2 linked regions of the Rattus norvegicus genome follow. The protein of the gene in region 1 interacts with the protein of each later gene in a pairwise test. Links are inferred from orthologs where the notes say so. Each region holds a gene or a part of one and is shown on either strand. Other genes may lie near its edges. The genes, in order: Sncaip and Nub1.

Evidence for each region.
Region 2: the proteins of Sncaip (region 1) and Nub1 interact in a two-hybrid assay, tested with the Homo sapiens proteins (2 studies listed by BioGRID). The link is inferred for Rattus norvegicus from reciprocal best matches to the Homo sapiens genes SNCAIP and NUB1.

Annotation. Positions count from the first base shown.
Region 1 is NC_086036.1:48,526,627-48,538,860, reverse strand, and holds part of Sncaip (synphilin-1), read right to left. Parts: coding exon 12,155-12,234; intron 6,787-12,154; coding exon 6,694-6,786; intron 6,204-6,693; coding exon 5,150-6,203; intron 3,984-5,149; coding exon 3,913-3,983; intron 1-3,912. UniProt on the Homo sapiens protein: Isoform 2 inhibits the ubiquitin ligase activity of SIAH1 and inhibits proteasomal degradation of target proteins. Isoform 2 inhibits autoubiquitination and proteasomal degradation of SIAH1, and thereby increases cellular levels of SIAH.
Region 2 is NC_086022.1:11,338,112-11,350,345, reverse strand, and holds part of Nub1 (NEDD8 ultimate buster 1), read left to right. Parts: intron 1-520; coding exon 521-627; intron 628-6,232; coding exon 6,233-6,416; intron 6,417-7,352; coding exon 7,353-7,460; intron 7,461-8,460; coding exon 8,461-8,613; intron 8,614-11,002; coding exon 11,003-11,149; intron 11,150-12,234. UniProt on the Homo sapiens protein: Specific down-regulator of the NEDD8 conjugation system. Recruits NEDD8, UBD, and their conjugates to the proteasome for degradation. Isoform 1 promotes the degradation of NEDD8 more efficiently than isoform 2.

The sequences.
Region 1 (12,234 bases):
ACTTACTGAAGAAGGGAGATGTGAGACTCAAATATACCCATAGAACATAACCTCCTTCCCCAGCTCCCCAGGATAATACAGACAAGGTTTTCTTTTGCTTTCTTTCCCTGTTTCTCCCTTCTTTTCCTCTATTAGGCTCCTTTTCTTTCTATATATTTATCAAGTCTCTTCCATATGCCAGGCACCACTAGACACTGGGAGTACACCGGTGCTCTCAAGAAGCTTCGGCAATAGTTTCTGTGCTTATCCTCCTTTGAATCTCTTCACTACAAGCTCCCCAAGTTCAGTAACCATATCTTACTTTGGGAAAAAATGTGTTGTTTGTTTGTGTGTGGCAGGGGAGTGCACATGTGGGTACATGTTCATGTAAGTACAATTGTGTGTGTGTGTGTGTGTGTGTGTGTGTAGGTATACATGCACACGTGTACACATGTATGTGGTGGACAAAGGACATGATGTCCCTCGGGCATTAGCTAACTTCTTTGCTGAGCTTGGGTCTCTTGTTGGCTTGGAGTTCATTGATGTTTGGTTGTCTAGTTGGCCATGGGACACCGTGGGTCAGCCTGTTTCTGCTGACTCAGCACTGGGAGTACAAGCCCACACCACTAGAACTAATATTTTTAAATGTGTTCTGGGTTAAAGCCTTCATGTCTGCACAGTAAGTACTTTACTGGTCCAGGGATTTTTCCAGTTCCACTAAAAATATATGCTTCTTGATGAAGACATGGAAAAGGAAGGTGTGGTTACCCAGGGGTGTGGCTCAGACAAGGTTATATTTGTGCTGATTTCAATCAACCTATACATCTCTAAAATCCAAAGATGCCCTTAGTAATGGCAGACTTATGATATGGCTTTGACACTGTAAGACATATCTTCTTTGGGCTTGCTTCACAACTGTACCTTCAGGAATGAGGAAAACAGAGTGGAGATGGAGAAATGAGCTGTTTGTCTTAGGATTTCTGATCATCATTGACTGACTAAATTGGGCTGAACATACTAAAGAATGTGTCCTGGTTGGGTAGTTTTCATTTCTGAGGAAGAGTTTTCTCTCCATTCTATGAGCATCAGCAAACTACTGGGAGAGTGACATCTGTCCCAGCCCTGTGCCAAAAATATTTTCTTTGAAGTAGCATTGGATACCTTGAATCTATGCAAAATATTTGACATTAGCTCTTGGCTTTGTATGTATAAGTCTTAAGGTGGCTAATTCATAGGTAATAAAAAGCAGTCTAATTTTCGATCGCTTCATGTCTTTTTAAGGAGTCCTCTTATGTTGGTGCTAGGATTGGGTCTTCAAGAAAGAGTGTCACCGGCTTAGAGAGGGTGTTGTTGGAGGTAGCCATATTCTGGACCAAGCTACCCTAGGCAGTCCAAAACTTGCAAATGGATGCTTCATTGGTATTTTAGACCAGTAATAATACACATTCCTTTGGTACTGTAAAAACTCAGTCAACTTATCCTCTTGAAAGACAAAAAGGAAAGATTAATCTGTTTCCTCTAAGTCATCTTCTGGAGTTGAGATGCTGAGAAGGTTGTTCAAAGCAATAAGGTTAAGGGCCACTGAAAAGAAATTCAAGACTCTGCTATCACCCTGTGACCAATTTAGAAAACTTAACTAGCCATCAGAACCCTGGTACAGAACTGAATTTCATTCTTTAAGATGCTGCACTTACTGGTTCTACTTTTCTTTTAGCAATAAAAACATTAAAAAAAATTCTTAGAAACTAGGTTGTGATTTCAGAATCCTGGAGCTAATATCACACCACATCTGCTGACAGGGGCGTCAGTAACAGGGAGCTGTTGACATCTTCACTCAAAGTCTAGGTGTCCCTACACTATTTTAAGAAGCCACTTGCTGTTCTAGCAAGTTCTTCGGTCAAGATCTGAAGTCAACATTCATAGGTGAACTTCTGCACTCCGCTCCCATAGGTAAATGCTGCAGGCACCAGAGTTACTTCTGTCCTGTTCGTTTACACATCTCATCCTAGCCTTAATTCCTCTGAGGAACCTTGATTTCAGGCAGAAAGGCATCCTTGATTTGTCTGTGGAGTAGATGAGGCTGGTGCTATCTGTGTGCAAGTGATGAATAAAATGATAATAAAAGTTTATTCTCTCCAATGTGAAAAGGAAACAACAAACTGGACTTCCTGGATTTTAATGGAAACCCATATTAAACTAAAACCGAAATAAAGTATATATTAAGATATGGGGTAGTGAGATGAGGTCTGGATGTTAACTCAATACTGAGACTATACATAGTTTGGATTTTCCAACTATTTAGCATTGAATTCAAACCTTTTCACTATACAAGGCCAGCGAATCTGCTAGCTTAATAACCGAGTCTTTAGAAGGACTGTCCCCTAAGTGCAGTGGGAAAGTGTTATGGTTGTCTCAGACAAGCGAGTGGCCCTCTAACCTCATTTTGTGCTCTGAGTCTTCGTAATACTATTCAACTGAAATGCCCAGCTTTCTTCCTTTCCTTGTAAAAAGGCAGGGTGAAACATTTCTGGCAGGAAAGATCTGCTGTGACATTAATTATCTCGTTCCCAGTTGCCCTAGGAGTCTGGAAGGCATTTTTCCTTTCTGCTTCCAGGGAGTTTGCCAAATCTTTGTGCTCCTTTGTCTCAGGCACAAAAGCGTAAGTTTTCAGGGACCAAGGAGACACATCCGACCTAAGACAGGCAGAGGAAAGGGGTGAGAATAGCTGAGACGAACAAAAGCAGGATAGTACCAATGTTTGGAAGGACAATGAGGTTTCTCCATGTCACGCTCCCATCTCTAACCCTGGCACTGAACAGCACTGAACAGGAACCTCTGTCGTGGGAAGGAGTCCTGACTGCATTTAGACCATCTGCCATCAGCTGCTCACTGGTGACTATAAGGAATCCGAGGTATTCTTCCTTCAATGCACCGAACTGACGAGACCCCTGACGATAGCCTGCTAACATGACTAAGATTTGTTTTCCACCCAGACCGGATAAGACACAGGCAGACTGACTCTGATCTAGGGAAGGTCAAAAAGAGAAACATTTTCTGGAAGTTATGTATTCTGAACTAAAATCTGTATGTATAGTACACACATTCTTTGGAGGATTCTGGAGGAATGCTGAATACTGCGTCGTGACTTTTAAATTTCTAAGATGTTTTAAAAACCAACGCTTTGCTTTTAAAATGGGTTTTGAGGTTTAATGCTTCTCAAATAAACTAGTCAAGAGGAACTGACTACATCATTTCCGGTCACTCCGCCCACTTCCTGCCAGGTCGGGAAACACACTAAACCTCAGGAGGGTTTTGCCCAAGTAGAAATCCTAGTCACTCACTGGTGACAGGGTCTTCTTTCTTATATGAGCACAGACTATGTATTTGGACTTGTGAACATTTTGTGAAAGACTCTTATTTTATCTGTGGACCTTCATCAGAACGACTTCTGGACCGGAAGTGGTTCACAGTACTAAGCAGGAAAGCTTCCGGCGGCAGAGGCATGCTTCTGAGAGGCATGCTCCTCTTGTGATGGGCAGATATGTTTATCAGTAGTGCAGAAACAAAGCCCCAGCTCACACTTGAAATTCTGATTTCTGAAGGGCAGCTGACCTCTTCTACCCACGACTGAACTTAATTTCTATACTTACTTGGCACTAAGCTCCCTTAGAATGCAAACTGAAGGCCAAAGTCGACTAAGGAACATAGTGAGTTTGTGAACAGAGTAGACTTTCCCAACTGATGAAGCCTCTCCATTGGGTACCGGCTACCTTCCTAGGATGGGACCCATGTCTCTTTGGGAGAGGATTCTTCTCCCTTGGTGCTATATCCTATATCCCCTGATTACAAACATTTCGGTCGCGTCATTTCAAAGCTCATGCAACTCTAAGCAAAGGCATGGCAGTGCCGCACAGTGCACTCTACGCCACATACCGTGCATAATCACGCAGATGCTCTTCGACCAGCGCATTAGAGGGAAGATGAATGCAGCTGCTGTACATCGCCTAGAGAAGTGCAATTAAGAATTATCTGACAACATGCAACAAGCTTATCACATGCACAGGTCCTGGTTAATCCAAGCCATGCAGGAGATATTAGAGAAAAGGTGTATGGGGAACTGTGGAGATGATTTTAGTGTTACTGCTCATCAAGAGACTCTCTGAAGTTACTTGGGAATAAGTAGGTTTTAATTTTTAAAGCAAAAAGTCTGGTGTCTTAGCTGGAGTATGCTTTTCTCTAGATAAAACAAATTCGTGGTAAAGTCGTTTATAATAAGGGAGATGGTAGATAATTTAAAAATTGGTGATGGGGCTGTTGAAGAGATATTACGTAAAACTTGATTCGGTACCACAGCAAGAAATCTAGACAGCTCTTAAGACTGTTGTACTAGGAATCCCAACAAGGAGTAGAAGATGAGCTTCCGACGCTCTACTGGGTGGTTTAGTAAATGGGAGAGTGAATGATCCAAGGCATTCCTTCCACAGAGAGATTTGCACTTTGGCTGCTACACTGTTTTTGATGGCATGTCAAGCGCAGAGCATGCAGAAATCGCTGCCTAAAACGATGTTCCTATCTCTTATTCTTAGAGGCGGGTTTCCAAGAAGTGCCGCTATAAATGACTTCACAATGCATTCTGCCTTCTCCTGTCCACTGGCAAGCCCTTCAGTCTCTCCAGTATCTAGTCAACACTTAGAGATGTGTGTGCTAACAGGCTATGTGGCAGTCCCTGGGGGATATTCATTTCAAAGGTTATTTGAGTTAGGTCGTTTAGAAGAAATGGGGTTTCTGTTTATATGCTTTTAAAGTGGGCTTTTGTACCCAGTCCACAAGGAGAACAGACTCTTCCCGAGACAGAATCAGTGCCAATGGCGGACTGATTTAATGCTGACGGGTGGTTTCATCTTGTATAAATGCCTCTTGGCTTACAACTTGTAATGCCCAAAGCACAAGAAACTGGGGTCAGACCTAATCTGCGATTTCTTTACTCACTTCTCTCTGTATTCTCCAAAGGAAGTGCAGGGGCATTCATCTTAAACTGGCATGTGTCATTAAAATATATATGAATTTTTGAATCTTGGGGTGACCTTCCTCCAAGATGGCACAGTCAGTAACAATAACACAATCAATTAAAAGTAATACAAGCATAAATACATCTCCAAACAGCACTCACTGCCTTATTCTTTCCTTTGCTAGCAGGGCTCACAGGGTTTCCCTTGGCATCTGCTGTCTTCCTTCCAAGTGACGTCAAGGGTAGTGTGCAGGTCTTCAGCTGGCTGGCTGGCTGGTAGTTATTATTGTTGTTCTGATTACCACTTAAACTCTCCATGATGGATCGGAAGGTTCCAAAAGGCCTTTTCATTTGTTCTCCTGACTCACTAGTCCTCTGGGGGGCCCTGCCCCTCTCTTTGTCTTTTTCTCCATTTAGTTCAAGGCTAGTTTGCTCCATTTGCACAACAGGCTCCTCAAAGGTCACTCTCAGTTTTGAGTTTTGGGATGTCCGGCGCTTGGATGATGGAGACTTGAGGGCACTCTTGGGGCTTGTAGCAACTTTCTGGGCAGTGGCACTGTCAGGACTGCACTGAGTGGCTTCTGTAGAAGGTTGGGTTGGAGGAGTCATTCCCAGGCTCGGGCAATGGGAGTCCAAATCTGGTTCACTGCTCTCTGAAGTGGGAGATGGGCTGTGCCCATCCAGGGATTTGGAGGCCTTCATACCAAAAGGAAACCTGCGTCCTGATGCCACAGAGTGTTTCTTTATCATCAGGTGTAAGCTTTCTGCACTGTCCATATTCTCCACACTTTCCACAATGGGCTGTGGTCTAGGTCTGTCCACTCTTTTCACAGGAGTATTTTTGGGGTCCTCAGAGTTGTTTGAATCCGTGTCAGATTCACTCAAAGATCTCTGCATCAGCTGCCGCAGTCTAGCTAGCTTCAGTTCCCTCTTCTCTAGAGGTATTTTTTTCGAATTCCTAGAGGATACCTGAGCATCCTGGAATTCCAATGACAGCTTTTCCTGGGTGCAGACATTCTCTGATATTTCTTTCCCCAATAACTGACGTAGGATTTTATCAGAGTCTTCGTCTTTTCCTTTGGTCCTAGCCCTGCTGGATAAGTTTCCAAGGACTTGTATTCCCTCCTGGGTTCCCAGTTTGCTTTTGCCTGTAGACTCGTCATCTGCATCTAGAATTTTCCACTGGGACTTTCTAGAAGCTGGTGAGGAGGGTGAACTGGAAGGAAGATAAAGAAAATATAAGATGGTTTCTTACTGCACTAGATGCATCCATAAGACCTTGCACGACCTTTCATACAATTATTGATTTATGGAAAACAAGATTAGATTACATAATGTTTTCTTCTGAACAATTAACAAAGACTCCAATCTATCAGCTGTAGCCAGAGCATGACAGAATTGGTCTGTTTTATTTTCTACGAACCACGTTTGTATGAATTTCATTACTTCAATCTAATCACCCTATACATCCTTGTTCTCATTTCACAGGTCAATACAAGTGGCACAAAGAAACAGAAACTCTGGGCTGGAAACTGCCTCAGGTCCTATGATCCCAGACACAGACATTTCATTGTGATATCTTTTATGTTTGTAGGAATAAAGTATTTTCTTGAAAAGTGTTAAATGGAATAAACAGAATGCTAGAAGAACATTTAAAGATTTCATCACATACCCAACAATTCAAATAGCAATATGACTGGGGTTACCTGGGTGAAGATGGGAGGGACTTGCCCTCTGATTTCTGGGCTTCCAGAAGTTGTTGGAGTTGACTCTGCAGTGTGACGCGCTCCACTGTCTGCCTGTAGGAGACAACCAAGGAACACAGTGTGTGAGGCATGGCCGCTGGCAGACTAGAGGGAGAAGACTCTTCATGAAAACTCAGCAAATGGCATCCACTCAGAAGCCTTAAAAACGTTTAGTCTTCATCCTCATGGTTCAGTTTCCCAAGGAAGCAATCGAGTGTTGAAAAGGATGGTTATTGTTCACATTCGTGACAAACCATGAAGAAATTAATAGCTCATCAATACGAGTGAAGGAATTTCAATCATTTCTGCAATGGCAACTATTAAAGCACTGTTATTTGAATACTTATGGGCATATAAAAACTTGGCTAATAATTGTGTGTATATTATACTTTACTAGTCTTAAATGAAAAAGGAATACTATAAATACTATGTGTAATACATTCTAATGTGCGTGCGTGTGTGTGTGTGTGCGTGTGTGCATGTGTGTGTGTGTTCGTGTGTGTGTGTGTGTGTGTGTGTGTGTGTTCGTGTGCGTGTTTGTGTATATGTGTATGAATGTGCATATGGAGACCAGGACTTGCTGTTGCCATGTTTTACTCAATCACTCTTCATCTGAGTTTTTGAGACAGGTTTCTCACTGAACTGGGGCTCATGGTTCAGCTAGAGTGGCTGGCTAGCAGGCCTTAGGGCACCTCCTTGTCTCTGTCAATAATACCAGGATGATGGGTGCAAGCAGCTATGTCAGCTACTATTCTAAGAAAAGTTTCTCTCCCTTCCATCACCAGAACAAAGATTCAGAAGGATTTCAACATGTTGCTAATGATTTCTGAACTATTGTAGTTCTTTGTTTCTGAGGCACTGTCTCTCTGTGTAGCCCTAGATAGCTCACTATGTAGACCAGGCTGACCTACTGAGTTCTGCCTGTCTGCCTCCTTCTCGCTGGGATTAAAGGCAGGCACTTTGCTTAGAAATTTGAAAAGTGTTTGCAACAGTTTACTAATCATAAAATATAATTAAACACGACACAAAATAACTACTTTTACTTTGGGTAACAGAGTTTTGTACTCTCTTATGAAAAGGAAAATTTATGTGCAGTAAGAGTCCATTTCCTCTGGACATAAGAGTATGTGTAACAGAATGTGCTTGGAAGTTAAGAAAATAGGGTGAAAGTCACAGCTATAGGAAGAAAAATATATATTTAGAAAATATATATTAATTATTATAGAAAGTGGGACTAGTTAATTTGACTGACTCTGTTTTATTTATATATCTAGTTTTTGAGACAGGGTCTCATTCTGTAGCCTTGTATGGCCTAGGGCTTACCATTTAGACTGGCCTGGCCTTGAACTCATTACAGAGCACTCTCTGCGTCAGCCTTCCAAATTCTGGGATTAAAGCAAATTAACTCTTATTCTACAGAAATGAGACACATTTATTGAATGCAGGATACAGTTTTCCAAGAATGTTTATCTATGCCCAAATTCCCAGAAGACATAAATATGTTGTGTTATTAGCAAAAGAAATTGATATGGAGTATGGCTGATATAATATGAAGGTCTCACATGGAGGCTACTTTACCCTACTATATAAGCCTTTCACAGTGGGAAGGACTTGACCCTGCTGCTGATGTCAGATATAGAGAGGGGGATTATGGGCTGTAGGATGCAGCTGGGCTGACCCCATCTAGCAGATGAAGGATGGCAGGAACCCAGTCATCCAAATGCAGGAAACTGATTCTGCAGCAATCTGAAGGAGCAGGACCTACGTTTGCCCAACAGCCTGTTTTCTAGGATGGGTGCCTTGTAAACCCCTAGACCTTAGCATTACAACATCCCTACTGACCCCTAACCTACAAAAATATAAAGTAAATTTGTCTTTGGTTAAGCCAGTAATTTTGTGATAGTTTGTTATAAGCAACAGGAAACTAATATGGTTAGCATAAAAATAGTAACAGCTCTCAGGAGCTGGGGCATGAACTGAATGGAGGGGTTATAAGAACTACTATTGCTTCCACAGCTTAGTTATGAATTAAAAGAAGCCTGCCATTCTTGCATGGTATTGGCGCATACACTCAACAACTATGCCTGTATATTTCTACGTAGTCAGGTCCTGATAGTGTTTTTTACAAGTCCCAGTATCTTTGTTTTTCTTAGAAGTGGTCAGCATTCTTTATAACAATTCAACCCCCAAACCAAGTCAAGTCTGTAACCTCACTTCATCTCACCTATACTGCCAAACTCACTGATTCAAACTTAGTCATGGGGCTTGGCAGATGGCTCTGATGCTAAGTGCATTTGCTCCTTTTGTAGAGGACCTGGGTTTGATTTCTAGCCCACCCTGGGATACTTAGAACAACTTGTAATGCCAGCTTCGGGGGACCCAATGCCTCTTCTGGTCTCCATGGTGACCTGTATACACATGGTACAGATATATACTCAGCTCCATATATATATATATATATATATATATACCAAAAGTCAAGGTCAATGTTAAGCAACAGCACAAAAAACAAAACCCACAAAGTTTTCTAAAGCAGGACCCAGCACATTCTTAATGGACCAGATAGCCCATATTTTAGGCTTAGGAGTCATTTAGCTTTCAGAACAACTATTCAGCTCTGTCCTTGTAGCAAGACTTTAACCTTGCACAACACACAGATGAGTGTAAGTGTCTGTGTCCCAACCAAACTTCTTACAAAGATAGTTGGTTAGCAGGCTTGGCCCACTTTAGTTTTTGCTCACACTGGCTTAATATAAGACTAACCCCCCTCTCCCCAATGCATTTTACTTTGCTAGTTGGGATGCATTTCAAGTGTGTGTGTGTGTGTGTGTGTGTGTGTGTGTGTGTGTGTGTGTTATTTTAAGAGAGCTGGGAGAGATGGCTCTGTAGTTAAGAGCATTAACTGCTCTTCCAGAGGACCTGGGTTTGAATCATAAGTAGCTCATAAACACGTATGATTCCAGTTCCAGGGGATCCAGTGGTCTTTCCTTCAGGCATCAGGTGCACACATGGTGCACAGACATGTGCAGACAAAACACCCATACATAGGAAATAAAATAAAATGAAAAATTATAAAAAACAAACAAAACACAGACATTATTTAGAGGGAGAAACTACCCTGGGGACGTGAGCAAGCTAGTGGGGTGGTTAGCGGTGTGCACTCTAAAGCCATGCCCAGGTTCTGGGAAAGAAATACAGTGATGAGGCTAAGGCAGGTAGAAGAAGATTATATAATTCACTTTTAAAAGGTTTACTTGGTGCCTTTCAGTCATTATGACACCATTAAAAAATATCCCATTTGACATCAGTTGTGTTGACTGGAATCACCAGAACAATGGAGAACACCCCTATTCTCTAGATTTGAAAGAAGCTTCCAGAAAGAATCTATCAGCCTTAAACACAGAGAGAAAACTTTATTTTCATACCATGTCAATGTGCCAGGATTTCCCTAAGAATCTCACAAACTCGGTAGTTTAAACAACAGGAAATTAAAAAAAAAGTTTTTATTTTTATTTTATGTGTACATGTGAGTACTGCATATATGCTTTTGTGCCTTGCACCCTCAGAGGTCAAAAGGAGGTGTCAGATCCCTTGGCACTAGAGTTCTAGGTGGTTGTGAACTGCATGATGTAGGTGTTGGGAATAATCTTTTGCAAAAGCAACATGTGCTATTAACTACTAAACTATCTCTCCATCCCCAGACAAAAGCAAATTATCACCTCACAGTTTGGGAGGCATAAGTAGTCTGAGATTAAAGTTAACTGTGTTGGTTCATTCTGAGGACATGGTGGTGTCTATCCTGTCCCTTAGGGTCTACTTTTTACTGGCAAATGCTGGCTTCATTGTTGGTTGATATCCCCCCACGAGCACTGCCTTTGAGTTTACATGATGTGCCCTTTGTATATATGGCCCTCTCCATTTCTTATAGGAATACTTGAGACTGGTCACTCTCATGACCCTACTTGGACTCAAGATCTTCTGTGAATATCTTTTTCCAAATAAGGCTACACTGAAATATTAGGGCTTAGTGTCTTCCTGGCTGAGGAAGAATTCAGTTCTAAATACCTGGCCTTACTAAGAGGAACTTCAGAAGAGCTGAGGTTTGCCATTTCTAGATAATGGCTATAACCAGTTGGTAGCAGCATTTGAAAGGAAGAAAGAAGAGGAGGGGGAAGAAGGGGAGGAGGTGGGGAAGGAGGAAGAGGGGAGAGAAGAAGGAGGAAGAGGAGGGGAGAGAAGAAGGAGGAGGAGGAGGAGGAGCAAAAAGGAGCAGAAGCAGCAGTAGCAGCAGAAGTAGCAGTAGTAGCATTCAAGGCTATCTGGTCCCAGAGCTCACTGTGGGCAAAGGTCAGGTGTTTTCCTACCTTGTAAGTTATTTCCCAACTGCCCTTGTCTGTTACTAATGTCCCACAACCTAAAAGACACATAGCCCCAAAGGTGTATTTGGGATTTCTCCATATACACTTCTGGGTTTTCTCACTTCACTGAAGTATATAATACATGAACAATCAGTGCCCACAGGAGCCCTTTACATATATGTCCCTGGGCTAATAATGTTTGCTCATAGCACTTGGATTCCAAGGCAACTGAATGACTGTTGTCTGTCAGGGTTTAGGGATTGCTTATCCCAGGATAACTAACAGAGAGAGTAGAGTGGTCAGGAATTTGACTTTGTAAAGTTCTTTAATAGAACAGCAGCGTAGCTATTCAACTTCTGAAAAAGAACTGGAGTTGGGTATAAACGCTGAGATTTAAAGAAGTCTATTTTTCTGGGTGTGAAACTTTAGGACAAATACTTTAATGGTTGATTTTAAAGTTCCTCTTCTTGGATATGTCCATTCGTTGTTGGAGGGAGTAGATGATGCTGTGACATTTTTGGAAAGGCATTGGGTAACATCTGCTTACATCCCCAACATTTTAGGATTGAACCCAGGGCCTTGGCATGTCAGGTAACTGCTCTACCACTGAGTTATTGTCCCAGCCGTTCTATTTATACTTTTAAAATGCATGTCTTCCACTCTATTCCCTATCCAGAATTTATTTTCAGGAATCTATGTAAGAACATAAAGACATATGTAAGAGTCTGTTCACCATGGAAAATAACTTAGTTATTAGCCTGCGAGCTGCCCAAGCCACGATACACTTCCCTGAAGTGACACGAATGTGGACATATGCTTCCTCTCTACAAAGAGTAATTCCCTTCTGGCAAACCTGCTCGGCACCTAGTGGTTTAATACTAATTTTTCCTCTTTAGAGCTGTTATGTTCAATGTGAACACAGGCTGTGAGCATCTAGGATCGAAGAAAAGATCAGAGGACCCAGACTCTGTTTATACCCAGAATGAAGGAAGCTCCAAAGCCCTTGCCTGAGATCTAAGCACAACAAATCCAAGTCAGACTCCAGGAATCAAGCGGCCACTTACTCCTTTAGCTGCTTGGTCAACTTTACCACTTGTGAGGCCAGTGACATACAGGTCTCTACCACCACGAGGTACCGGGAACA
Region 2 (12,234 bases), on another chromosome or scaffold:
TCAAGGAACTTGGAAGTGTGTGGTGATCCTGCTTGTGAAGGTGGAGGGTGGGAGACTGATGTAGGAGTCTTGATACGTAAGGGACCCCAAATTAAAAGCAAAACCACAACCGAAACCATGCTTGATGAAGTTAGGTTCTTACTTGGACGGTCTCGCTGCTTAGGGCAGGCTGGCCTCCATCCTGTCATCCTCCCTCCTCAGCATCCCAGCTGGGATCACAGCCCACAAGAGTTCCTGGTCGCTCATGCCTAGTCTTGAAAACTGAAGCCCATGGCTCAGCAGGCAGAAGAAGACCTGAAGAAACCTGGGGGACGCCACTCTCACAGCTTGGCTTGAGAGGCTGCAGGGCCTCACCGAGCTAAAGCTCTCTTTGGAGCTTAGCTAATTTGGGTTTTAGATTGAGTTGTGTTTGGTTTTTGCCTTGCTTTTCAGTAAAGCTAATACACTTTTTAACTTGTTTTATTGATGTCGTACTAACCTGTTTGAAAGTACTGTTTTAAAATTTTACCTTCTTTCCTAGGCCCTAATGTTAGCCATGGGGTACCATGAGAAGGGCAGGGCTTTCCTGAAAAGAAAAGAGTATGGGATAGCCTTGCCATGCCTTCTGGACGCCGACAGATACTTCTGGTAGGTGCTTTTGCATTCAACAGACGATACTGGTGTAAGGGTAGGCCCCCCCCAGCACCCTCCTACCTGTAACTGCAGACTGACTTCCACCCCATAGTGGTTTCTGGGAGTGAGGAGTTAAGGCACACACCAGTATGTGGTGGTTTCCTCCTTTGTGTTTCTGACTAGCCCCCTTGCCTGTGCAGAACACCCACTCATTTCCACCCTAGTGTGTAGGCTGTAGGCTCAGCACCCACAGGGTACTGCCACCAGAGCTGTTGTCACACTGCTCCTTACCTTATGAGTGTGTCAGTGCGGACAGTACTGGCCCGAACCCCACAGCCCTGCAAATGTGACTGTGGCACTCTTCTGCAGTTGCTGCTGGATTACTAGGAGAAAAAGCCTTTGCCTTGTGTGTGTTTGGTGTTGGTGGGGTGCAGTGTTCGCAGGAAGCAAGAGAAATGCCAGGCCCCTTTCATATCACTTCCTAGTCTGCAGATTTAGTTGCTTCCTTAAAGTCGATCAGACTAAGGTTTGCTTTTCCTCTTCATCAGTGTTAACTGCTGAAGCTGAGTGAATTCTGCTATCCCAGCACGCGCGCGCGCGCACACACACACACACACACACACACACACACACACACACACACACACATATTTTAACATGAGCTTTTACACATCCGATGTGCTTCATATTTCTGTGCGTAGTTTCTCTACCTGGGGCTGGCCCCCATTTTCTTTTTCCCTGGTGCTGGTAGTTTCTGAAATTTCCCAGGGTTCCTAGTTCCTGTCTGTGGAAATGGTAGAGAATGTAATCTGTGCAGGTTGGATACTGAGACAGAATGGATTCTGGGAAATGGTCAAGAGTTAACAGCCTCATTGTGGATGTTGTTTGGTGAATTCCCATGACAATCTTCTGTGTCAAAGAAAACCCGAAAGAAATGTTTTCCACCTGCAAAGGTCAGAGCTGTTGGGTCTTAGATGTGCAAATCTCAAGCTAACCTATCCAGAGAAGAGATTTATCATCCCAAATGCTTGGAGGAGATGGAAGGGCAAGGCCGGGAGGAGCAAGAAAGCAGTCTGGGCCGCCTCAGGGTCCTGCCCTGGACTCTGTCCCTGCTACTTTGTTCTCTTCTGAGGCAAACATTGGAGTGTGAGTTGAGTTCTTAGAGGTGAGGACAAGGTTCCATGTCTTTGCATAGTCCTTAATAGAGAAGATTTCAAATCCGTGGAAGCAGCAGCTGCTGTGGTGAACTGCTGTGGTGAACTGTGAACTGTTGTGGTGAACTGCTGTAGTGAGGGTTCATAGTCTGGCTGTAGTGGGTGTCAAGTAATAGTTTTGATTCCTCTGTGTAGGCTTTTTTCAACCTTTTTTCCCTGGACTAATCACTGAAATGATTTTCAGGTCTCAAAAGACCTCAGTGAAAATACCCGTGTCATTATCATGTTACATGAAGTTAAGTAGCAGGTGTCAGTGCCTTTAAAGGATGCGCAGTCATCTTTCCTTTATGGTCATGAACGCACAAGGTGACTGGCGTAGAACAGGGTTAATTGGCTGAGAGTTTAGAGGCTTTAGCTCATAACCAGTTGTTCCTCTTGCTTCCCTGTCCCTCTGTTTCTGCTGCTTTGTGGTGCATGTGCATGACTGAGGAACTGGGCTGAACACCTCGGCGGCTGCAGTACTAAGAGAAAGAAAGACTAGCCACCAGTCTTTGTTCCCTTCAAGGACATAAAACCTCCTACGTGTGCCACTTCCTGAAGATTTCACTCACTTCGTGACTGTGCTCGGCCCAAGCTGTCATGTGTTGCCCTTGGGGAACATTCCAGATACAGTGGTAGAGAATCTCTCTTGTGGGAATCTGTTGGTTCTGGCCAATCTGCACACATATGATTTCTCTTCATGAAGGAAGTTAACTGTAGCAGGAGCCCCGGTGCTGACGGAAGAAACCTCAGCGTTCCATTTTCTTCCCTTATTTCCTAAGTAAACTGAAGTTCATGACTTTTTACTCATCTTACGTGCAGTGGCTACTGTGCCAAGAATAGTTTCTTTTTCCTGTGTGTGTGTGTGTGTGTGTGTGTGTGTGTGTGTGTGTGTGTGTGTGTGTGCGCGCGCGTGCGTGCATGCGTGCGCGTGCATGCATGCGTGTCTATGCATGTGTGTCTGTTTGTCTGGAAATCAACCAGGTCTTGTGCTTTACTGTGCACCATACCCACAGCTCTCTTTGCCTGATGGAGCAACAGGACTAGGTTTGCTGTGTCATGTGAAAAAGCCTGGCAAAATAAAGCAAGCAGCAGCTCCCAGCAGTTCAGGATGGGCAAGGACAGGCAGGGCATCGGCCCCAAGCAGAGGTGGAGCTAGGTGTCCAGGGACAGGGCCTGAAGTTCCCCTTGAGTGTCCAGTCTGTGAGCAGCGTCATATGGGGAGAAAGCACCCACGGCTGGATAGGGACTGCTTGGAAGTAGTAGCAGCAGGTGGACCCTTGGTGCCCACAGAGGATCAGGAGCAGTTTGTGACAACCCTGGTCACAGGGCAGCAGGTGGGGCTTTGGAAGGAGTTGTCTCAGCAGGAGCCCAGAGACCGCTGTGGTCCCCAGCCCTGCCTCAAAGCTTCTGAAAGGGAAAGGGAATAACACTCGGAATGTATATAAGAAATACTCAAGTTAATTAAAAAAAAAAAAAAGGAAAAAAAAAGGCGTGAACAGGTGACAGGGCGGTGTGGGGGCTGTGCAGAGGCTCACAGTGGATCTCAGGTGAAGAGTGGGGCAGTGCATAGGGTGCAGAGTGAGCGAGGCAGAGACAATAAGAGAATGAAGGAGAAGCAGTGGAAGCCTTCCAGTGTGACAAAGATGGCTGAGATGGGAGGAGGCCTTGAGAGCTATCCCACACATGACAGTCTGCTTCCTTACCTGTTTAGCTTAGAGTCATAAACTCATTAGAGAGCGTAAGAAGTTCTCTGGCGCTGGAGAGAACTCGGTAGTTAAGAACACGGGCTGCAGCCCTGTAGGAGGACGAGCAGTCAGTTAGCCTGGATCCTGAGAACTCTGATTCTGGATCCCCAACCAGGCAGCACACACCAGCTGAGCTGAGGTCTCTAACATATACAGCAGAGGACTGCTGGGTCTGGGTTCAGTCAGAGAAGATTCACCTACCCCTCAAGAGACTGGAGGCTCCAGGAAGTTTATGGGTCTGGTGGGGTGGGTGGGGTGGGGACATCCTTGTAGAGATGGGGGGAGGCAGGAAGGAAGTATGGGATATGGAGCAGTCGATGGAGCAGTCGGAGGGTGGCCCATGCGGGGAATAGAATCTGGAATGTATAAATAAATAAAGACAAACACTGGCTGCTCTCACAGGACCCAGGTTCAGTTCCTAGCACCCATATCCAGCGTCCGCAACTGCCTGGGAATCCAGTTCCTGGGAATCCAGCACCTGTAAAAGCTTGGGGCTTTTCCACACCCCATGAAGGCCTTTATACTTCTATATAAGCCTCAGGCACTATAGCTGGGCACATTCTGATCTATTCTAACCTGGCCTGCTTCCCACCCCCACTTAGTCTTAGTCTTGTTCCAGCACCTCCGTCGTTCATGGCAGCTCCCCATGACCACCTGAGTCCTCTCTCCTCTGGGAACAGAAGCCCGCCTTTCCCTCTCCTGCCCACTCTAGGCTGGCTGGTCCTCATGCTGAGTCAGGAGGTGCTGCATCTTAGTGACAGTACCAGGGTCCGGACTGCAGCCAGCTACAGAACGCCCTCTTCTGGTCTCCACAGGTACTGCATGGACACATACACAAAACACACACCAGTAAAAATAAGTAAGCAGTCTGAAGTCAACTTTAGTGTTTTCATTTTAAAATTGTTTCAACATGAAAATTTGTTGAATAGCAAAACTTTTGAAACTGCAAACCAAGTCATTATTAATAGAAATACATTTTTTTTGGCTTGTTTTTTTTGAGACAGGGTTTCTCCATGTAGCCCTGGCTGTTCTTTAAAACAGTTTTATGCTGGGTTTTTTTTTTTTAAAACTTTTCCTTCCCAATTGTCATGATCAGGTTCAAATATAAGCCGATCAGGTTCAAAACTATAGTGCAGGTGTTGGTTTCTTTTCCTTTCTTCCCTCCCTCCCTCCCTCCTTCCCTCCTTCCGTCCTTTCCTCTTTTCCTTCCTTCCTTTTTTTGAGGCAGAGTCCTGACTGGTAGTCTTAGTTATTCTGGAACTCTAGGCAGACCAGGCTCACCTCAAACTCCAGAGATCCACCTGCTCCTGCCGCCTGAGTGCTGGAATAAAAGACGTGCGTCAGTGTGCCCAGCTTGGTTTTCTTTTCTTTTTTTTTTTTTAAGTAATAAATAAAATGTACCCCTATAATAGGCTACCTGGGCTTTGATACATTTTGGTTTTGTGTTTTGGGCACACATGATTCAGTTCTGGGTCATTTCTGTCCTTGTTGCTGTTTGTCCTGCAGGTATTGAAAGAACCTTTCATAGGCCTCAGAAGCTAATGCATGGAGAGTGCCCATTGCACTCTGAGTGATTCAGCCTTTCTGTCTCAGGAAAGTGAACCTGTCAGGGCACAGATCAGGGTGTCTCCCTTGATGTGAGAGCAGATTTCTACCTACAGCCTTTCTGCCTCTTCAAGTCAAGCTTTCAGGCTGTGTTGATGATGCTCTTTCCATGGGCTTTCTCCCACTATCTCTCTGTCTCTGTCTCTCTGTGTGTGTGTGTGTGTGTGTGTGTGTGTGTGTGTGTGTGTGTGTAGCAGCATGGCATGTATGTGCTCAGACACTCATGACTAAAAGGAATGCTAGAAGAGACAGGGAAGAAAGCATGCGCGAACACCATTTTCCATGCTCTTGCCCCCACTGGTCTGTGCAGCCTTGTGGGGTGATAACAGATCTGTTTCATTGGGCTTTTGGATGAACATGTCTTGGTAGGCAAGCAGAGGGAAAAGCTCCTACTTAACGCATCCATTGGACGTAGCCGGACGGAGCTCTGGAGTCAGCGGTGTGGACTGTGGTTGCAGATGTGTTTCTGTCTTGAGGACGAGGTCTGCGCTCTGCACTGAGCATTAGCCTAACTTAAAGCATAAATAAATCGTTTATAGCGTCTTCAGACCTTTCCCTGTGTCTAGCTCAGCCTGTTCATGGGCCCGCAGCAGTCAGCTAGGCATTTAGCCTGGTGTTTTCCAGACTGTTCCCCCAGTGAGAAAGTCCCTGAGCATGAATGTCTCAGCAGAACTGCCATCAGCCGGGGCAGTTTTAGGAAGTTGCAGGTTTCGGGGTGTCTTTACAGCCATGTTAGTCACCTAGGGAGATTTTAGCAATAGGACATCCAGCTCCTGTCGTGGAGAGCTTTGTCACTCTTGTCCTGATTAGGCCTTCAGCATCAGTCTCCCCAAAGAAAGACTCCCGTGTCTTGGGGATTGTAAGTCACAGCCAGGACTGGAAGCCACTCTGTCCTGGGCCAGAGGCCACCATGCTGCTGTCAAGACCCCTTATTCCTCTTTGTCCACTCAGAGGACCCATATTGTAAATAAAGGCCCCATTAGTTAATTCTAGAGACACACCAAGAACTAAAAGGCTTTCCAGGGACCCCTGAGAGCTGAAGGGCTCTGCCATGACAGCTTCCTCCTCTTGTAGTGAGTGCAAAGAGCTGCTGGACACTGTGGACAACTATGCAGTCCTCCAGCTGGACATCGTGTGGTGCTACTTCCGCCTGGAACAGCTGGAGTGCCTTGATGATGCAGAGAAAAAGCTGAACTTGGCCCAGACGTGCTTTACAAACTGTTACGGGGAGAATCACCAGAGACTGGTCAACATAAAAGTATGTCACTGGGATTGGTCGTCTCGGCCTGCCTCCGGGGCCCATCTGCCTTGATGTGGGAACTGCTGCCAGAGGTGGCTCACCCGGGCACAGCCTATCATACCTCGTAAACCAGAGCTTTAGCAGCTGTTAAGAGGTTCATGAACCTGGCTGGGGTGTGTTTGTTTCTTTATTGTTATGTTTTCAGGGTTTTTTTTTTTATTTGTTTTTTGGTTTTGTTTGAGACAGTCTCATGTAGCCCAGGCTGTCCCTGAATTCTTTTTTTTTAAAATATTTATTTATTTATTATATATGAGTACACTGTCACTGTCTTCATGCACACCAGAAGAGGGCATCAGATCCCATGACAGATGGTTGTGAGCCACCATGTGGTTGTGGGGATTTGAACTCAGGACCTCTGGAAGAGCAGTCAGTGCTCTTAACCACTGAGCCATCTCTCCAGCCCATTTCCCTGAATTTTTTTTTTTTTTTTCCGGACCTGGGGACCGAACCCAGGGCCTTGTGCTTACTAGGCAAGCGCTCTACCACCGAGCTAAATCCCCAACCCCTGTCCCTGAATTCTTAATCCTCTTGCTTCCACCTCCAGAGTGCTGGGCTTACAGTATACACCACTGTGCTGTTGAGTTTAGTCTTGCTGCTTCTCTGGTGGGTTTTAAAGACAGAGTTTACTAATTGTAGACCACAACTCTCAGTCTGACCAGGAGAGAACCAGTGACTAAGTCATGACCTGTGAGGGCTAGCGTCCGATCAGGTGTTCTGACTGATCCCTTCCATGTGGAAGAGATACAGCCTGGAAGTCATCCCTTCACAGCAGTGATGCCCTAGGCATTCTAGTACTGCCATCTTGCTTCTGTGGAGAAACGGCAGTACAGCAGTGACCACGTGACCCTTTAATGAGAAATAAGACTGCTTATTCTTTTCTCCCAATAACTTCAGGGGAACTGTGGGAAAGAGAAGGTGTTGTTTTTAAGACTCTACTTGCTTCAGGGAATCCGAAACTATCACAGTGGAAATGGAGAGGAGGCTCGGGAATATCTCAACAAGGTAAGGAAGGCCCTGGGTCTGCCCACCTCTGCCTGTGCCTTGGCAGTGTAAGACTTGCTCACGGGCCTACACCTCCCTCCCTCCCTCCCTCCCTCCCTCCCTCCCTCCCTCCCTCCCTCCCTCCCGTGCAGCATGAACACGTGTGTCTGTGAGGGCTCAGGCAAGGGGCTGTAATGAAGACTCCTCAAAGTGGTAGTGGCTGTAAGTGGGTGGTCCTGCCCTGCCTCCCCCAGCAGGCCCAGCTAGAGCTCTGCAGGCTCCCATTGTCCTGCTACTCCATCTGCCACCAGCAGAGAGGGCCAGAGAGCCAGAGCAGACCTGCACATCACAAAGAGACTGCCAGGGCTGGAGAGAGGGCTCAGTGATGAAGAGCACAACCGCTTTTCCGAAGTTCCTGAGTTCAATTCCCAACAACCACACCATAGCTCACAACCATCTATAGTAGGATCCAATGCCCTCTTCTGGTATATCTGACCGCGACCATGTACCCATATATAAAAAGTAAATAGAGAGAGAGAGAGAGATACTCTGACTGCCTGCTATTGACCTTGTAACCACGCAGCCAGCCCAGCTGGGGGAGAGATAGATGCCATTTGCAGCCTGTTTTGAGATAGGGTCTTGCTGTGCGGCCCTTATGGCCTTTGCCTCCTGATTGTGGGGATGACAGGCCTGTGCTACCACAGCCGGCTGAACTCAGAATGTATGAAAGGGGGGAGAGAGAGAGAGAGAGAGAGAGAGAGAGAGAGAGAGAGAGAGAGAGAGAGAGAATGAATATGAATGAATATGTGCGTGCTCCGGCACTTCTCCAGCATCCCACCTGCCCATTTGCGCTATGTTATGGGTACATTATGCAGGCAGACATAGTGTTTGTTTCATTCCTTATGGTAGACAGGTCATACAGCAGTAATTCACATTTGATAGCCTCACTCCCAGCCTTTAGCTCTGCCAAACTTTAATGTCGCTGCTGTCTAGTGAGTCTTCTGCTTCTTCCTGTTTGTAGGCACGTCAGCTCTTTAAAGAGCTGTACATCGACCCATCGAAAGTTCACAACTTGTTACAGTTGGGGTTCACTGCCCAGGAAGCACGGCTGGGCCTGCGGGCCTGTGATGGGAACGTGGACCACGCAGCCACTCACATTTCCAACCGCAGAGAGGTGGGTTTTCCTTTCTCGCTGCAGCACCCAGGAAGCTCCTACTCTTTGAGGTTATGAAACAAAAACACTGTAACTTTATATCTGAACTGGGTAGGAAAAGACCGGACAGAGGCCAGAAGAGGGGGCTCGGGGTCAGGAGGGCAGGGGTAATAATGCATTGTCTTCCCTTTGTTTGAGACGGGCTCATGTAGTCCAAGTTAGCCTCAAACTTGCTCTAAAACCATGGGTAACCTTCCTCTGCTGATCCTCCTTGCTGGTACCTATGAGGGCTAGGATTACCTGGTTTTCTGCAGTGCTGGGAAAACCTGGGGCTTCCCCAATGCTAGGCAAGTGTCCACAGCAGGGCTGTCTTCCCCCCCCCCCCTTTTCTTTTTTTTGGAGCTGGGGACTGAACCCAGGGCCTTGGGTTTGCTAGGCAAGTGCTCTACCACTGAGCTAAATCCCCAACCCCACAGCAGGGCTGTCTTAATCATTCTGGCTTGAACCAGAACCAGGGCAGTTTCCTATCATGGTGGCAGTTAGGCCTCTAGTCTCCTCTCAGGATCTTGCTCAACACTGTAGTGTGTTTCCGAAAGTTATTTCAAAAGTGGCTATGATATGATATTTAAGATGCCTTCAGGGGTTGGGGATTTAGCTCAGTGGTAGAGCACTTGCCTAGGAAGCGCAAGGCCCTGGGTTCAGTCCCCAGCCCCGAAAAAAAGAACAAAAAAAAAAAAAAAAAAAAAAAAGCCTTCTTGCCTGGAAACATCAGATCATAAAAATGAGGTCTGAAAAGCTACAGTCTTTATAACAAGTACACACACACACACAAAAGCTTTAGAATTCTAAAGACGAAAAAAGGGGCCTTGTCATACCCAGTTGTACAGAGAAGAATCTGAGGTCCAGAGAGCTGGTGATGTGGTCAGTCTTCTCTCAAAGCTAGAAACTGATAGTTTCCTGGGGCTTTCTAGCCAGAGACTCTTACTGTATGACTCTTAACAGCAGTCAGTGGGCCGCAGTGAGGTAGGAAAAGCCAGTAGTCATGTGGGAATGGATCTGTGTGTTGATTGTGTAGTGACCTGGCAGCAGGGCTGTGTGATTGTCTCACCACAGTCAGCCTCAGCTGTCCAGTCATGGTCCCTGGCCCTTGAAGCAGACGTCAGGGACGGCTCAGGTATAGCTGGCTCTGTACAGTGTAGATCAGTACCACAGCATTTCCACCTGTTGCTGCTCTGCCAGAAGGATGGGCTCAGAGGAAAGCTGCTGTTTTCAAGTGATTTCTTGGAAAATGGTGTAATACTTTGTAGTTCATGTTGTCCTCCCAGTTGTGATATAATCCAGCTCTCCCCATGACTGATCGTGTTGCAGATGAGGTGAGCTGTGGCTCACAGGCTGCCTCCTCAGGGTCGGGGAGAGTGGGGGGGGGGCGGGGGGGGGGACTTCTCAGCCAGGAAGGCCCTTGCTGTGAAGCCTGATCTGAGTCTGTCCCCTGGGCCCATGTGACAGGAGAGACTCCTACAGTTTGTGTACACACACACACACACACACACACACACACACACACACACAAAAGTGAAAACACTGCAGAATGCTGGGGTACATAAGACACTGGGCCTTCGCACCACAGACTCGATGTGTGCATGTGTGTGTGTAAGCACGTGCATGTCATACATATGTGAATTAAGTTGTGATCTTCAGAGAAGAAGATGGTGATTCTGGTGTTAGGTGGGTTGGTTGCCGTGTTGCTGAGGACCTGGTTTCTGTCTCTATTCCCCCCTTTGTGTCTCATCACTCCCTGAATCACCAGTCCTTGAGCTTCGTGCTGATGAACCAGCCAGCCTTGGACCTCTCACTGAGGCTGGGATGAGCTGAGACCATTCAGAGCCCCATTGGGAGCTGGCCAGGGCGGGTGATGTTGGAGGCACACCTGGTGTGGCACAGAAGAGACATTCCCAAGGGAGCTGCCATCTCACTTCCTGCAGCTCTGCACAGAACTAAATGGAATCAGGGTTTTCTTTTCTCTCCTGCTATTAGGGATAGAATCAGAGTGTCACTCACGCTGGCAGCCACTCTATCCTAAGTGGCGTTCTTAGCCCCCTGATTTGAATCCCTGGATAGGTAACCTGAGGTGGGGATGACCCTCCACCCCAGCAGGAAACTCTGGTGTAGCTGCCTGCTTGCGGTTCTTAGCCCAGCACTGTAAGGATCTACCTGTCTCAGGATATGCTGTGCTGACTGTTCCCACTCCTGGGCCTTAGCCCAACCCTAACCCCATCCCCGTGCCTCCAGCCACTTTTCTAGGCAAGGATAGGTAGAAGTCCCTTTCTGTCCCAGCCCAGAGACCCTGAGACATCCTGCAGATTCCTGTGCTGCCTCCACCTCTAACTCACAGGACCTTGTTTTCCTAAAGGAACTGGCCCAGATACGGAAGGAAGAGAAGGAGAAGAGGAAACGCCGTCTGGAAAGTGTCAACACTTTGAGAGGAATGGGCTACTCCACACAAGCTGCCAAACAAGCCCTTCACCAGGCCAGAGGCAACCTGGACGATGCCCTGAAGGTAATGCTTGCAGTTCATTGTGTGCAGCCGGGCATTCCCCTCCAGGCTGGCTCCGGTGCCCAGCCTTCCTGTGCGCATCCCTCCTGTACAGTCTTTGTACAGTTGGGGTGGGGTGCAGTCAGGTCTGCTGTCCTCCAGCAGAGCCAGTGACGGCCCTGGGCACCTGGCCTGGGGCTTTAGTGACTGGCCTTTCCAACTCGCAGGGGGTGTTCCATTCAGTGTTAGCTGTGCTTGAGTGGAAGGCTGGTTTGCACATCTGCTTTACTCTCTTGGCAAGAGGGCTTGTAAAAGACTGCAAGGTGACAGTGCAGCAACAGTGTTTCTGGCCAGTCTCGGTCAAGAGGCACAGGAAGCTCTGTGCTACAGCTTGGACACTGCCCTCAACTGCCACGAACCAGTGGTAGGCAGATGGATGCACAGGCGCAGCAGGACAGTATGCTGTCCTGGGACTCTTGGGATGGGAATATCACTAGTGGCAGGGCTGGCCCAGCAGGGACCAAGGACAGTATGTGCTTCAGGCAACAGCCCACAGCATCCATGCTCTGCCTTGGGAAGCTCCAGTTGCACAGTGTTTGCTGGAGTGCATGCATATATGCTTGCATGTGCTTGTGTGTGTGTGTGTGTGTGTGTGTGTGTGCGTGCAAGCACACATGAATACGTATATGTATTTTATTTTTTAAGACGGGGTCTCACTATGTAGCCCAGGCTGTCATGGAACTCAGTATGTAAACCAGGCTGGTACCAAACTCATAATCTGCCTGCCTCTGCCTCCTAAGCATGGGTACATGTGCATCACCATGCCCAGATCATACATATTACAGGTGTGCATCACCACATCCAGATCATACATATTACAGGTGTGCATCACCACGCCCAGATCATACATATTACAGGTGTGCACCACCACGCCCAGATCATACATATTTTAAGTTACAATGTTATCTGAATATGAAGCTTAAGGTTTTGTGTTGGACAGACAGAAAAAACAGGGACGTCTAACCCTCCAAAGAAAGCAGTGAGATTCACACAGTTAATTCAAGAAGGGCATGGGCTGGAGAGACGGCAAGCATGAGGACCTGAATTTG